3 linked regions of the Xenopus tropicalis genome follow. The protein of the gene in region 1 binds, or shares a complex with, the protein of each later gene. Links are inferred from orthologs where the notes say so. Each region holds a gene or a part of one and is shown on either strand. Other genes may lie near its edges.

Evidence for each region. The genes of interacting proteins can lie anywhere in the genome.
Region 2: ubtf (region 1) and polr2k share a complex: the UniProt entries of both Homo sapiens proteins name them as parts of the pol I pre-initiation complex. The link is inferred for Xenopus tropicalis from reciprocal best matches to the Homo sapiens genes UBTF and POLR2K.
Region 3: ubtf (region 1) and taf1c share a complex: the UniProt entries of both Homo sapiens proteins name them as parts of the pol I pre-initiation complex. The link is inferred for Xenopus tropicalis from reciprocal best matches to the Homo sapiens genes UBTF and TAF1C.

What each region holds. Positions count from the first base shown.
Region 1 is NC_030686.2:18,518,854-18,523,089, reverse strand, and holds part of ubtf (nucleolar transcription factor 1), read left to right. Parts: intron 1-1,357; 5' UTR 1,358-1,398; coding exon 1,399-1,456; intron 1,457-1,991; coding exon 1,992-2,167; intron 2,168-2,291; coding exon 2,292-2,375; intron 2,376-2,467; coding exon 2,468-2,623; intron 2,624-2,856; coding exon 2,857-2,921; intron 2,922-3,016; coding exon 3,017-3,137; intron 3,138-3,297; coding exon 3,298-3,408; intron 3,409-3,716; coding exon 3,717-3,850; intron 3,851-4,236. UniProt on the Homo sapiens protein: Recognizes the ribosomal RNA gene promoter and activates transcription mediated by RNA polymerase I (Pol I) through cooperative interactions with the transcription factor SL1/TIF-IB complex.
Region 2 is NC_030682.2:128,131,278-128,136,172, reverse strand, and holds polr2k (DNA-directed RNA polymerases I, II, and III subunit RPABC4), read right to left. Parts: upstream 3,373-4,895; 5' UTR 3,259-3,372; coding exon 3,198-3,258; intron 2,361-3,197; coding exon 2,268-2,360; intron 955-2,267; coding exon 932-954; 3' UTR 761-931; downstream 1-760. UniProt on the Homo sapiens protein: DNA-dependent RNA polymerase catalyzes the transcription of DNA into RNA using the four ribonucleoside triphosphates as substrates.
Region 3 is NC_030677.2:215,209,535-215,214,398, reverse strand, and holds the start of taf1c (TATA box-binding protein-associated factor RNA polymerase I subunit C), read right to left. Parts: upstream 3,373-4,864; 5' UTR 3,266-3,372; exon of another isoform or gene 3,231-3,265; intron 3,184-3,230; exon of another isoform or gene 3,089-3,183; intron 1,613-3,088; 5' UTR 1,601-1,612; coding exon 1,472-1,600; intron 1,279-1,471; coding exon 1,185-1,278; intron 112-1,184; coding exon 1-111. UniProt on the Homo sapiens protein: Component of the transcription factor SL1/TIF-IB complex, which is involved in the assembly of the PIC (pre-initiation complex) during RNA polymerase I-dependent transcription.

The DNA of each region.
Region 1 (4,236 bases):
CAAGCAAGCTGATATTTACTCCCAGCCCATGCCTACATACCCTTTTATACTGCCTTAAACCGTACAGTGTTATGGGATTGTTCTTGTGTTCAGGGCTCCCCTTACAGGAATTACAGGGGTATTACATTATTATCCCTTCAGGTTTCTATGGCATGTGGCCTTGTGTCTTTTGTTACCCAGCTACACTGTAAATATAGGGAAACATATACAGGTAGGGGATCAGGGCCGCTGCTGGCCAAATGGGTGCCCTAAGCGGAAATTTACTTTTGTGCCCCCTCCCCCAAATATTACGTAAGTAAAAATGAAATACTAAAAAAAAACACCTACTATAGGGGCCCCACACACAGTGCCCCCAATTGCCCCCATAGTAAGTGCCCCCAATAGCCCCCATAGATTGATTGAACTATCCGGGACAGCGGGATGCACTATAAAAACCGGCGGAACATTGTTGGGGGGGTATGTTATAACATATAAAAATGTTTTTTTTTTGGAGCAGCTGGGATGATGCCCCCTTGGGAGTTGGTGCCCTATGCAGACTGAGTACTCTGCTTATAGGGAGCGGCGGCCCTGTACGGGATCCTTTATCCCAAATGCTTGGGACCAGGGGTTTTCTGGATAAGGGGTCTTTCCTTAATTTGGATCTTTGTACCATTTCTACTAAAAAATAATTTAAACCCAATAGGATTGTTTTCCTACCAATAAGGATTAATTATTTCTTAGTTGGGATCAAGTACAGGTACTGTTTTATTATTACAGAGAAAAAGGAAATCATTTTTAAAAATGTGAATTATTTGATTAAAATGGAGTCTATGGAGATGGCCTTCCCCTAATTGGGAACCTTTTGGATGACGGGTTTCCGGATAGAAGATTCCATACCTGTACTTCTGTTGTAAATAATAAGGATATTAGAAGTCACTGAGGGGTTCTGCAGGCTGAGTTATACAGGGAACTCTGAGCATCACTCATGTATTATAAAACTCTGAGCATCACGCATGTATTGTAAGGAATAATGTACCCCCTACTGTAAATAACAAGGATATTAGAAGTCACTGAGGGGTTCTGTGACCATATAAAGGCACAAGGCTGCAGGCCAGGACATTGAATTCCAAGGTGACTTCTAATATCCACATGTTTTACATTAGTTCTTCTTACACACAAAATTGTGAATGAAGTTCAATTACATCACTAAGCACCATTTATAACGGTAAAATTGTAAACAGGCCTTCTCTTTCAACAAAGAGTAAACTCGAAACAATAATTTTAAATATTCTACATTGATTTGACCTGCCAAATACCAGAGGATATGTGTATAAAGTAGTGCCAAGTATAATGTTTTTTCTGCTTTTTGTCCATGTAGAGAGTCTCCCAGGCTGGTGTTAAGGGTCTGCCCAGCATAGGATGAACGGAGCAGCTGGCGGTGTAGCAAAAGGAAACATGACAGCCCCAAAAGATCAAGGTAAGATGATGATGGAGACTGAGATCCAGAAACCTCACGTTTAATGGTCACTGTAGCACTAGGCCTGCAATGAGGGAACCAACAGTTTGTGGGCCATTACATACTCCAGTTAAAGTTCTGGGAGTAACTAAAGTTGGCCGTGCGCAGGCTGTTAAATGCGGACTCAACCCCCCTTCCCCCCCCAGACCAAGTCAGTAGCTTAATAGTCTATGTATGGGGCCCTTAGGAGATCCTGCCCAATCTGTATATCTAGCTGATGTTTGGCTGCTGTGAAATACCGATGGGCCCCCATTATGATCATTTGTGCAGGGGCCAAACTATCAAATGCCCCTGATTTTGCGCACTGCCTTGGTGGCCACATCAAGTAAAGGTCAACTTGTCCCCAAACAAGTGAATCTTAACATGTATGGCCATGTTAATGTTACAATTCAATTTATTTGATGGAGCATAGTGTGATTAACACTGTGAAGTCTCTGGGGTGGCCTTTTCTCATTTGCATACACCCAGTCCATTTTATTGATCTCTCTCCATGTAGACCAATGGTCCCAAGAGGATATGCTGACTCTCCTACAAACCATGAAGTCACTCCTGCCCAGCCAGGACAACTCTAAGTTTAAGACAACAGAGTCTCACCTAGACTGGAACAAGCTGGCTTTCAAAAATTATTCTGGTTCCATGTGTCGCCAGAAGTGGATGGAAATTTCCAATGAGGTACAGTGGGCTAATGAGACGTCTTTCTGTGGGGGGGGGGGAGCCTTTTCTCTCAAGCAATGGGATACTTTCTACAGCAATATATGAGCTTTGTTTTGTGTTTTTGTTCTGTTGATGACATAAGGTCAGGAAGTTCCGGACTCTTACTGAGTTGATCTTGGATGCAGAGGAACATGTTAAAAATCCATACAAAGGGAAAAAACTGAAGGTAACTCTATCGGACCTCTTTGGGTTTGGAATCTAGCCATAGCAGTTTGAATTCCATGTGCATTAACAGCATATTTACCCCAATCCTTTCAGAAACACCCAGAATTTCCCAAGAAGCCGCTCACCCCTTATTTCCGCTTCTTCATGGAAAAGAGGGCTAAATATGCAAAACTACATCCAGAAATGAGTAATCTGGATCTCACCAAGATTCTGTCCAAAAAATACAAAGAGTTGCCAGAGAAAAAAAAGGTGAGTGAAGGACCTGAGGTAGAAGGGGTGTTGAGTGATGAGGGCTGCGTACAACCCATAAAATGTAGGAAAGTTGCACAGAAAGAGGGGTTGGATTTGGGGAGACACACAGAGGACTAATGGGTGGAGGGGGTGGGGTAAAAAATATAATAAGAGAAAAGGCTATAGTTGAACTGTAAAGGAAGAGCAGTGTTGTTTAATGGCATCTTTCCTAATGGTTCTTTCTTCTCCAGATGAAATACATCCAGGACTTCCAGAAAGAAAAGCTGGACTTTGAGAGGAACCTGGCTAAATTCAGGTAACTGTCCATGTGTATGTGTTCAGGAACAACAAAATATTAGCAGAGAAAAGCCACCACATCTTACTGCTTTTTATTTTACCCCCACCTCTTAGGGACGAGCATCCTGATCTCATGCAAAATCCAAAGAAATCTGATGTCCCGGAAAAGCCCAAGACCCCTCAGCAGCTGTGGTATAACCATGAGAGGAAGATCTACCTCAAACTGCATGCTGATGTGAGTGTGCGATAGGGCTTGTCACTGTTGGAGGTGGGGTATAGCAAAACTTGCACTGTCCGACTGTGTCTGACACAATGCCCTGACTGAGTGTGTGTGAACAAGGAAGATGGCATGCATTTGATAGCAACTACCTTTAACTTCACTTCTGTCATTTCAGGCCAGCACAAAAGACGTGAAGGAAGCATTAGGGAAGCAGTGGTCCCAGTTATCTGATAAGAAGCGCCTGAAATGGATCCATAAGGCACTGGAGCAACGCAAGCTATATGAAGTGAGTGCACATTAGCAGAGAGCTGCTGTAGGTCCCATGTTTAGGTACACACTCAGGCTGTGGCCTTCAGGAATGCACATTTGATGTACTATTTCAGGGCTATCCTTTTTGCTCTAGAGCTTATTTTGGGTCCTTTTCCATCCAAGGACCTGCTCTAAACTCTGATTGGTGGGGTTTAGAACCATAGTGATATTTAGGCAGATACATAGCAAGAAGCAGAAATGGAGAGTGCACCTTAGGCCATGGCTAAGTTGTTATTGTTACTGCTCTGCAATAACCCCACTATTGTGTTGCTCTCTGACAAACAGAACATAATGAGGGAATATATGCAGAAGCACCCAGAACTGAACTTAACAGAAGAGGGCATTACTCGCTCCACTCTCACCAAGGCCGAGCGACAACTGAAGGACAAGTTTGATGGCCGGCCAACCAAGCCTCCACCGTAAGTGTGTGTTTGATGTGGCTGTTACCCAAGCAGTGGGCATGTCCTTATTAATCTATCCTACTTCTATGTACAGAGCTTATAGAGAACCTTCATCTCTAAAGATACTGTGGGCCACAACTTCCAGCATGCTTTCTGCTGGGACATGCTGGGAGTTGTATTTCTACAGCATCTGGGCAGACATATAATAGCAGAAGGTCCAAGACAAAACTGATTGCTGTGTGGATGATAAAACTGTGCTAGCTGTGAATGACAGGTGCTATAGGAATAGAAGCTGGTAATGCAAATCTTGGTGACTCTTGATTAGGAATGTCATGTGATTTGGGTAGATCTAAATTAGAAAAGGGCTTATACTCTGAAAGCTGTTGAGGAATTCTGACAGATGT
Region 2 (4,895 bases), on another chromosome or scaffold:
TTACATTCTGCTTTTAGTCTTAATTCTTTTCTCTAAAAAAATCCATATTTTTCTATTTTTTTTTCTATTTAAAAGTTAGGCTATTTTTGCTGAATATAAACATAGCAATGTGTTCAGAGCTTACTATTTACCTTTTAACAAACAAAACACATTTTTCTCTAAGCATCAGCCATTGAGCAGCTAAATATCAGGGGGTTCTCAGTGGACTGGTAATTAGTTTTATTAGCTCCTTTGAAGTTCTTTGGGACCACAAGTGACAAGAAATACTAAAGTGAAATTGGCTATATATTATTGTTTTGTGCCAGATAATATAGAAAACACAGATATTTCATAATTAAAGCAACAGGCAAAAAGTATGTTCAGCACAAGCCCTATTCATTGAGCTAATGTTGAAAATGGGTGTACTTTCCCTTTGATCAATCCCCCTTACCTGCTTTATAGTACCTACATACTATGCAGCCCTGACCCTGTTATCTTAATTTGTTCTGTTTTCATTCCCACACTTGTTTGACTGTGTCATTTAGAGCAGAACATCCAGCCGCATAGCAAGATTGTATTTCTTATGATGTAATATTTACAGTAATATGGTAGGTGCAGGAAACCAATTAGGTTGTAGGCACAGCAAAATACAGCCATACTGACAGGATTTGCAGCAGCTAAAAGGGACCTGTTGGACTGCAACTTCATTATAAGACCAGAGAGGTGGTGATATGCAGCAGTTTTCATTACTGAGAAAGAATTACGCTGATGACAACGAGTTATGTTTACAAAAACAAAATTCTAAAAATCTTTATTACAAAACATGTAATACCTTGCTTTACACAAGAACAAGGAACACTATCATTAATTAACAAAATCTGATATATATGTAACTTAATCATATATATATGTAGAGCAGATGTCAGACACATGTAACTGAATTTTATCCAGGTCAGCGAGCATCAAACACAACCACTGAAATTGAAAGAATTAAGGAAATATTGAATCAGATAATGGAAAATAAAGTGTAGCACTCATGTACCATAAATAAATTTGCAGTAGATGTTAAATAAATCCATTTTACAATTTAGTGGATTGTTATGTATGGTGTGAAGTTCCCCTTTACAAAGTACTTTTTGGCTTTAAATTTGTTTCCAGCTCTCCCTTAATCTTCCTCTCGTGACTGAATAATGCTTATGGCACATCAACTATTTGTTCTACTGCTGCCATACTCCAAAAAAACACTGGAGGAAAAAACACCCCTGTCCACCATAAAGCTGGCCATACACGCACCGATAATATCGTACAAAACCTTGTTTCATACGATATTTGATGCGTGTTTGGCAAGTCGCCGAGTCGACCGATATCACAGGAGGCTGCTGATATCGGTCGACTCGCCGATCGGCCAGGTTAAAAGATTTTGATCGGGCGCCATAGAAGGCGTCTGAGCAAAATCTGCCATCAGGGCTGAGTCGGCAGAAATCATATTGTTTCTACCTCCTTATCTGCCGTTTCAGCCCTGAACGTTAGTGGCGGTTTCAACAACCTTAACTCTCCTCATATTACGAAATGGAAAGCACCATAGCTAACAGAGCAGAGACACACATTGGGGTCAAACGTTTTGCTTAGATTTTATTTTGCTTATTCTTTTAATAAAATGCATTATTTGATCAAATGCTTTTTCCTTCTTCCATAATTGTTTTGAAAAAATAGTTGCAAAAAGAAAGTTCTTTAATTACACTTTCTGCACAGTTTAGTGGAAATGGTAACAAAAACAATTAATGTTTTTCAAAGGGGAAGTTCACCTTCAATTATGTTTCAGTATGTTTTAGAATTAGCAATTCAGTTGCTAAACTATTCAATTGGTCAACATTTCTTATTTTTATTTTTTTTTAGCTTTTAATTTGATTTGGGGCCACTGTGGGAATCCAAACAACTATTGAGGTTACAATTTTATTTGTATTGCTATTTTTTTTACATCCTTCTATTTAGGCCTCTCCTATTTGTATTAGTATTTCTCATTTACACCACTGCATGGCTGCTAGGGTAATTTGGACCCTAGCAACCTGATATCTGCTGAATTTCCAATCTGGAGACAAATAGCTTAATAATTAAAAACACACACATATAATACAAAGACCAATTGCAAACTGTCTCAGAATATCATAAAATTGAACAACCCCTTTAATGGAAATAAGTTTAATACAAGCCTATTTTACAGGCCATTCTCCGTTCCTACACGCATTCAGTCTGGAGTAAATGTGCAGGTAACCAGAAAAAAAGGATACATCGTTTTGTTCTTTTCTTGTACATTATTCTGTAACCACATTCTCTGCACCTGATTGGATCTCTCGCTTTTATTTCATTTTCCGTGTGACATTCTAAATAAAGATGAGAGAAAATAACATGCAGTTTAAAATCTAAAGAAAATCAATGTTGATAAAGACTAAGATAAATATACAAGTCTTGTAAAAAGACAATGTCTGCAAGGACTGTTGTGAGTTCAAATGGAACAACACAAAAATAAGATGTTTATATTCTGGGTATTGTGAGGGGGTCTTGTCTGGGTGCCTGTATCCAATGTTTCAATCTAGTGGTAGCTCGCTATTGATTCGTAGTTGCACTCTCTTCTCTTAATATTATCCCGACATTTGCAGACACTAGCCAATTAACATTCTCAACATGATCTAAACTAGCACTGCAATCACCAGTATCATTCAGCTCTCCTGAGAATGCTGGAAACTGCAGGGCCTCTTGAAATCATTTTTTTCATCAATAATTGGCTCCCTTTAATTCATGACCAACAATGGCATTTAAAAGCCCACATTTATCCAATTCAGCTCCCTAGTGAATACAGGAGCTCCCATGCCTCCATCTTTCTGCAGTATCCCAATAGTTCCTAGTGACTAGTCCCAAACACAGGAAACAGATGTACAGAACCAAAAGTAATGCATATGCTCAGTGCAAGGGACTTATGGGAAACTAATTAAAATGGCACAGGTTCAACTAGTTTAGAATATATATATTCACTGGAGGGTTTTTTGGGCATATAACTTCTCTTTAGGATATTAGGCACTTTTGGCAAAACTCAGGGTGGGATGCTGGGATTGCAGGTGACCAGGAGCCGAAGTTGTAGGTCCCTGATGTCTTTTGAATCCAATAACTTCCTCTAAAGGCACCCCCGAGTAAAACTGACTGCTTTGAGAGAAAAACCTTACCTCCACAAATGTATATCATCGGCTGCTGCTTAGGAGGAGGTGCGTCCTTCTGGCCTTCCATTTTTTCACCTGAATAACATAAATTGCGGGTATTTTATTCCTGCAGAAAAGTCAATTTGCAGTTACAGCCTTTCTCTCACTCTCCCTACCGTAACGTCACTACATACAATAAATGTGACTACTCGGCCTACAATATATCGGCACAGCACTGCTTTCAACTCAGCATGCACCAAACATCCGAGGCGCACGATTCCTACGACATCAGAAAGCGCTCCTACGCGTGACGTTCGCTGCGTGTGTGCGACGGCCATCTTTAGTGTGGGCAACTATATGTTTCCAAGCTTTATTAGTATGCTAGTATTCTTTCACTATGCAGAAAGGCACCGTTGCTATTCTGCATTATTAAAGTGATTGTATGGTGTCATTTATTTATATAATAGTATGAATTTTCTGATTTTATTATGGATTTCAGGTATGGCGTTTGTTGCTGGGACGCCTGTCTTATATACTATTGTTGCTGTGAAAAATGTACTCTAAACATGCTTTTGTGCCGGAATTTGCTTTTATATGTGCAGACAGTGAATCAAGAAACTATCATACCACTTGGTGCCAAAAACAATGTTTTGTTACTGATCCTTTAGGAAAACTAATGCTATCATTACTACTTATTTTAAATTTATCTAATGCCAACCTTAGATAAAGGCTGACATTATAACAAAGTTTTTTTTTTTAGAAATAACACAATTTCCACTCATCACTTTAATTAGTTGATTGGAATGGCTGAACAAAGGCATCATGGGTATGACTGAAGAAAAGCACCATGGGTACTTATCACATGACCTTTGGAACACATTTGAAAAAAAGTGGGGGGTTTACAGGTTTTCCAGTTTTAGCTCAGTTTCATTGATCCTGAGCAAGAGATAGTCTCCAGGTGACCCTCCAGAGAGGATTCAGGTGAACAGAAATATTTCATTGTGAGGATTTTATTACAGGTTTTATTGGTGGTTTTTGAAATAGTTTAGCAGTTAACTGTCTCCTGGCTGTTGGTTGTTTCAGCCTAATAGTTTGGTTTGGTTTCTGGTTGGAAGCAGGATATTTGTATTAAAACAGATACTGCAAATTCCCTAAATCTTGCTTTTGAAAACCTTGCTTTATGGATCATGCTAAAATGTGTGCACCCCAATACTAAGCATACTTCATAAGCCTCTTGCTTTAAATATAGGCATGTATGGGTTACACCAGTGATCCCCAGCCAGCGGCTCATGAGCAACATGTTGCTCCCCAACCCCTTGGATGTTGCTCTGAGTGGCCTCAAAGCAGGTGCTTATTTTTTTTTGGAGTCAAGTTTTGGAGACCTAAAGTCCATGTGTACTGCCAAATAGAGCCTCCTGTAGTCTGCCAGTCCACAGTGGGCCATCTAATAACCAATCACAGCCTTTATTGGTCACTGCCTAGGAACTTTGTTCATGCTTGTGTTGCTCCCTACATTTTTTTTTATATTTAAATGTTGCTCACAGGTTAAAAAAAGTTTGGGGACCCCTGGATTACACTGTAGGAAATAAAGTGAATTGCAATGTTTCTTTTTATAATGAGGAACTGCTGAGCATGAGTTTAGCAATAATTCAGTGCCAGACTGGGGGGTGTGAGGCCCACTGAAATGATCTAAACCGTGGTATATAAGGTATCACATAGAAATGT
Region 3 (4,864 bases), on another chromosome or scaffold:
TAGTGAAATCCAGTTGTACACTGCTTTTCCTCACAAGAGTATTTCTCAGGGGAACCGCTGCTCTCATTTCTTGTACAATGTCGGATACCAGCACCGGAGGGATTCCAGAACCTGCCGGGGAACAAAGAAAACAGGGAACAGTGTGACTCCCCCAAACGTAACTACACCCCAACCTGCTGGGATTTCTCTGCACAGTGGGACTGGGTTCCACGTTATGTTCTTAGCTGCACAGCTCTCATCAGCAAATGTGTTTATGGGTCGGTCCCCCCTAGGCCCAAACTGTACTAATGGCAGTGACGTGTTTATGGGTCGGTCCCCCCTAGGCCCAAACTGTACTAATGGCAGTGACGTGTTTATGGGTCAGTCCCCCCTAGGCCCAAACTGTACTAATGGCACCGACGTGTTTATGGGTCAGTCCCCCCCTAGGCCCAAACTGTACTAATGGCACCGACGTGTTTATGGGTCAGTCCCCCCTAGGCCCAAACTGTACTAATGGCAGTGACGTGTTTATGGGTCAGTCCCCCCTAGGCCCAAACTGTACTAATGGCACCGACGTGTTTATGGGTCGGCCCCCCCTAGGCCCAAACTGTACTAATGGCACCGACGTGTTTATGGGTCAGTCCCCCCTAGGCCCAAACTGTACTAATGGCAGTGACGTGTTTATGGGTCAGTCCCCCCTAGGCCCAAACTGTACTAATGGCACCGACGTGTTTATGGGTCAGTCCCCCCTAGGCCCAAACTGTACTAATGGCAGTGACGTGTTTATGGGTCAGTCCCCCCTAGGCCCAAACTGTACTAATGGCACCGACGTGTTTATGGGTCGGTCCCCCCTAGGCCCAAACTGTACTAATGGCAGTGACGTGTTTATGGGTCGGTCCCCCCTAGGCCCAAACTGTACTAATGGCAGTGACGTGTTTATGGGTCAGTCCCCCCTTGGCCCAAACTGTACTAATGGCACCGACGTGTTTATGGGTCAGTCCCCCCTAGGCCCAAACTGTACTAATGGCAGTGACGTGTTTATGGGTCGGTCCCCCCTAGGCCCAAACTGTACTAATGGCAGTGACGTGTTTATGGGTCAGTCCCCCCTAGGCCCAAACTGTACTAATGGCACCGACGTGTTTATGGGTCAGTCCCCCCAGGCCCAAAGCGGAGGAGGTGGCTGAGAGACTTCCCATATGAGTTACCAGGGTTAGGAGGCAGCAGTGGGATGGGTGCCGGGCTGGTTGGGCTCCAACGTTCTGCAGATCTGCTGTACAAGGGAATGAACTTGTAACCATCCTGTGAAAACAATGACAAGGTGTCTGTGGGTGCAACCACTATAACCACCCCCTTCCCCAGCACTGCCCCCCCCCCCCCCACTAAAGCATCCCCATGTGATCCCCTTTCTTATTTTCCTTTGTAACATTTCTGACACTTATCCCCAGAGCTGCCATCTAAACCCCAATAAACTAATGTCTCTACTGAACCTTACCTGCGCGCTGTTACTGTGCTGGACTTTGCTGTGTTCCCCCAGGCCAAACACAGAGTGGGAAGTGGGGGCCTCCCTGGCACAGGGCCCCTCGCTGTAAAATGAGGGGAACAAAGAGCCTGGAAACTCCATCTAAGAAGTCATCTACAAGGCAAGAACAAGAAAGATTATAAGGCAGTTACATAAGCTAAATGTACTCACTATAATTGGCCTTCAGGCTGGATCCCCTCGGCTCATAACAAATGATTTCTAATATCCTTATCATTTACAGTAGGGGGTACAGTATCCCTTATAATACATGAGTGATACTCAGAGTTCCCTGTATAACTCAGCCTGCAGCCTTGTGCCTTTATATGGGGGGCACAGAACCCCTCAGTGACTGCTAATATCCTTATCATTTACAGTAGGGGGTACATTATCCCTTATAATACATGAGTGATACTCAGAGTTCCCTGTATAACTCAGCCTGCAGCCTTGTGCCTTTATATGGGGGGCACAGAACCCCTCAGTGACTGCTAATATCCTTATCATTTACAGTAGGGGGTACATTATCCCTTATAATACATGAGTGATACTCAGAGTTCCCTGTATAACTCAGCCTGCAGCCTTGTGCCTTTATATGGGGGGCACAGAACCCCTCAGTGACTGCTAATATCCTTATCATTTACAGTAGGGGGTACATTATCCCTTATAATACATGAGTGATACTCAGAGTTCCCTGTATAACTCAGCCTGCAGCCTTGTGCCTTTATATGGGGGGCACAGAACCCCTCAGTGACTGCTAATATCCTTATCATTTACAGTAGGGGGTACATTATCCCTTATAATACATGAGTGATACTCAGAGTTCCCTGTATAACTCAGCCTGCAGCCTTGTGCCTTTATATGGGGGGCACAGAACCCCTCAGTGACTGCTAATATCCTTATCATTTACAGTAGGGGGTACATTATCCCTTATAATACATGAGTGATACTCAGAGTTCCCTGTATAACTCAGCCTGCAGCCTTGTGCCTTTATATGGGGGGGCACAGAACCCCTCAGTGACTGCTAATATCCTTATCATTTACAGTAGGGGGTACATTATCCCTTATAATACATGAGTGATACTCAGAGTTCCCTGTATAACTCAGCCTGCAGCCTTGTGCCTTTATATGGGGGGCACAGAACCCCTCAGTGACTGCTAATATCCTTATCATTTACAGTAGGGGGTACATTATCCCTTATAATACATGAGTGATACTCAGAGTTCCCTGTATAACTCAGCCTGCAGCCTTGTGCCTTTATATGGGGGGCACAGAACCCCTCAGTGACTGCTAATATCCTTATCATTTACAGTAGGGGGTACATTATCCCTTATAATACATGAGTGATACTCAGAGTTCCCTGTATAACTCAGCCTGCAGCCTTGTGCCTTTATATGGGGGGCACAGAACCCCTCAGTGACTGCTAATATCCTTATCATTTACAGTAGGGGGTACAAACACACTAGATCACACAGCTGCACACACAGGAGGCCCAGAGCCAAATGTAACCCCCGGCGGTATGAGTACAGGAGCGAGTAATACATACACTCAGGGACACCCCCGGGAATCACGGTGAGACCGCCCCACATTACTCACTGTATCTCCCACAAACACGTGTAGTTGCACCCTCAGAGCTCACACTCGCCTCCCACAGCGCTACAGTCTCCCACAGCGCTACAGTCTCCCACAGACAAACACCCATTACCGAGCGGACACTCACACTCACACTCACACTCACACTTCCCTTCTCCTCACACCCCACACAATCCGAACCTGAAGTTTTTGCTTGTACCTCTCTCCCGGCCCGTCATAAAGTGTTATTTCAGGTTACGCACCAATGAAGAGTAAGAACGCTCAGTCACATGACCATGTAGCCAATCACAGAACAATGGGCGTGTCTCAGCGCATAGCGGCCATATTGCTACTCGCTGGGTGCAGTTCTGAGTTCCAAGGTGGCGGCTCGGAAGTTTCCTTCAGTTCCCTCCCAAGAGACGCCTTCAAGGTGTGATTTGGGCGTAGAGCTGGGCTTTTGGCTCCTGTCTGTTGTGTCGGAATTTTACACCAGATAAAAATCAACTATTCCCCTCCTGCCATTCCCTAACTATCCCCCCATTCCCTAACTATCCCCCCCTATCCCCCCATTCCCTGACTATCCCCCTCCTATCCCCCCATTCCCTAACTATCCCCCCCCTACCCCCCAATTCCCTAACTATCCCCCCCCATCCCCCATTCCCTAACTATCCCCCCCTATCCCCCCCATCCCCTAACTATCCCCCCCTATCCCCCCATTCCCTAACTATCCCCCCATCCCCCCATTCCCTAACTATCCCCCCTATCCCGCCATTCCCTAACTACCCCCCCATTCCCTAACTATCCCCCCATTCCCTAACTATCCCCCTCCTATCCCCCCATTCCCTAACTATCCCCCCCTATCCCGCCATTCCCTAACTACCCCCCCATCCCCCCATTCCCTAACTATCCCCCCTATCCCCCCATTCCCTAACTATCCCCCTCCTATCCCCCCATTCCCTAACTATCCCCCCCATCCCCCCATTCCCTAACTATCCCCCCTATCCCGCCATTCCCTAACTACCCCCCCCATCCCCCCATTCCCTAACTATCCCCCCCTATCCCCCCATTCCCTAACTATCCCCCTCCTATCCCCCCATTCCCTAACTATCCCCCCCTATCCCGCCATTCCCTAACTACCCCCCCCATCCCCCATTCCCTAACTATCCCCCCCTATCCCCCCATTCCCTAACTATCCCCCTCCTATCCCCCATTCCCTAACTATCCCCCCTATCCCCCCATTCCCTAACTATCCCCCCTATCCCCCCATTCCCTAACTATCCCCCCTATCCCCCATTCCCTAACTATCCCCCATTCCCTCACTATCCCCCCATTCCCTCACTATCCCCCCATTCCCTAACTATCCCCCCATTCCCTAACTATCCCCCCATTCCCTAACTATCCCCTCCTATCCCCCCATTCCCTAACTATCCCCCCCATCCCCCATTCCCTAACTATCCCCCCCTATCCCCCCATTCCCTAACTATCCCCTCCTATCCCCCCATTCCCTAACTATCCCCCCTATCCCGCCATTCCCTAACTACCCCCCCCATTCCCTAACTATCCCCCCCTATCCCCCCATTCCCTAACTATCCCCCTCCTATCCCCCCATTCCCTAACTATCCCCCCCTATCCCCCCATTCCCTAACTATCCCCCCCTATCCCCCCATTCCCTAACTATCCCCCCATTCCCTCACTATCCCCCCCATTCCCTCACTATCCCCCCATTCCCTAACTATCCCCCCATTCCCTAACTATCCCCTCCTATCCCCGCATTCCCTAACTATCCCCCCCTATCCCCCC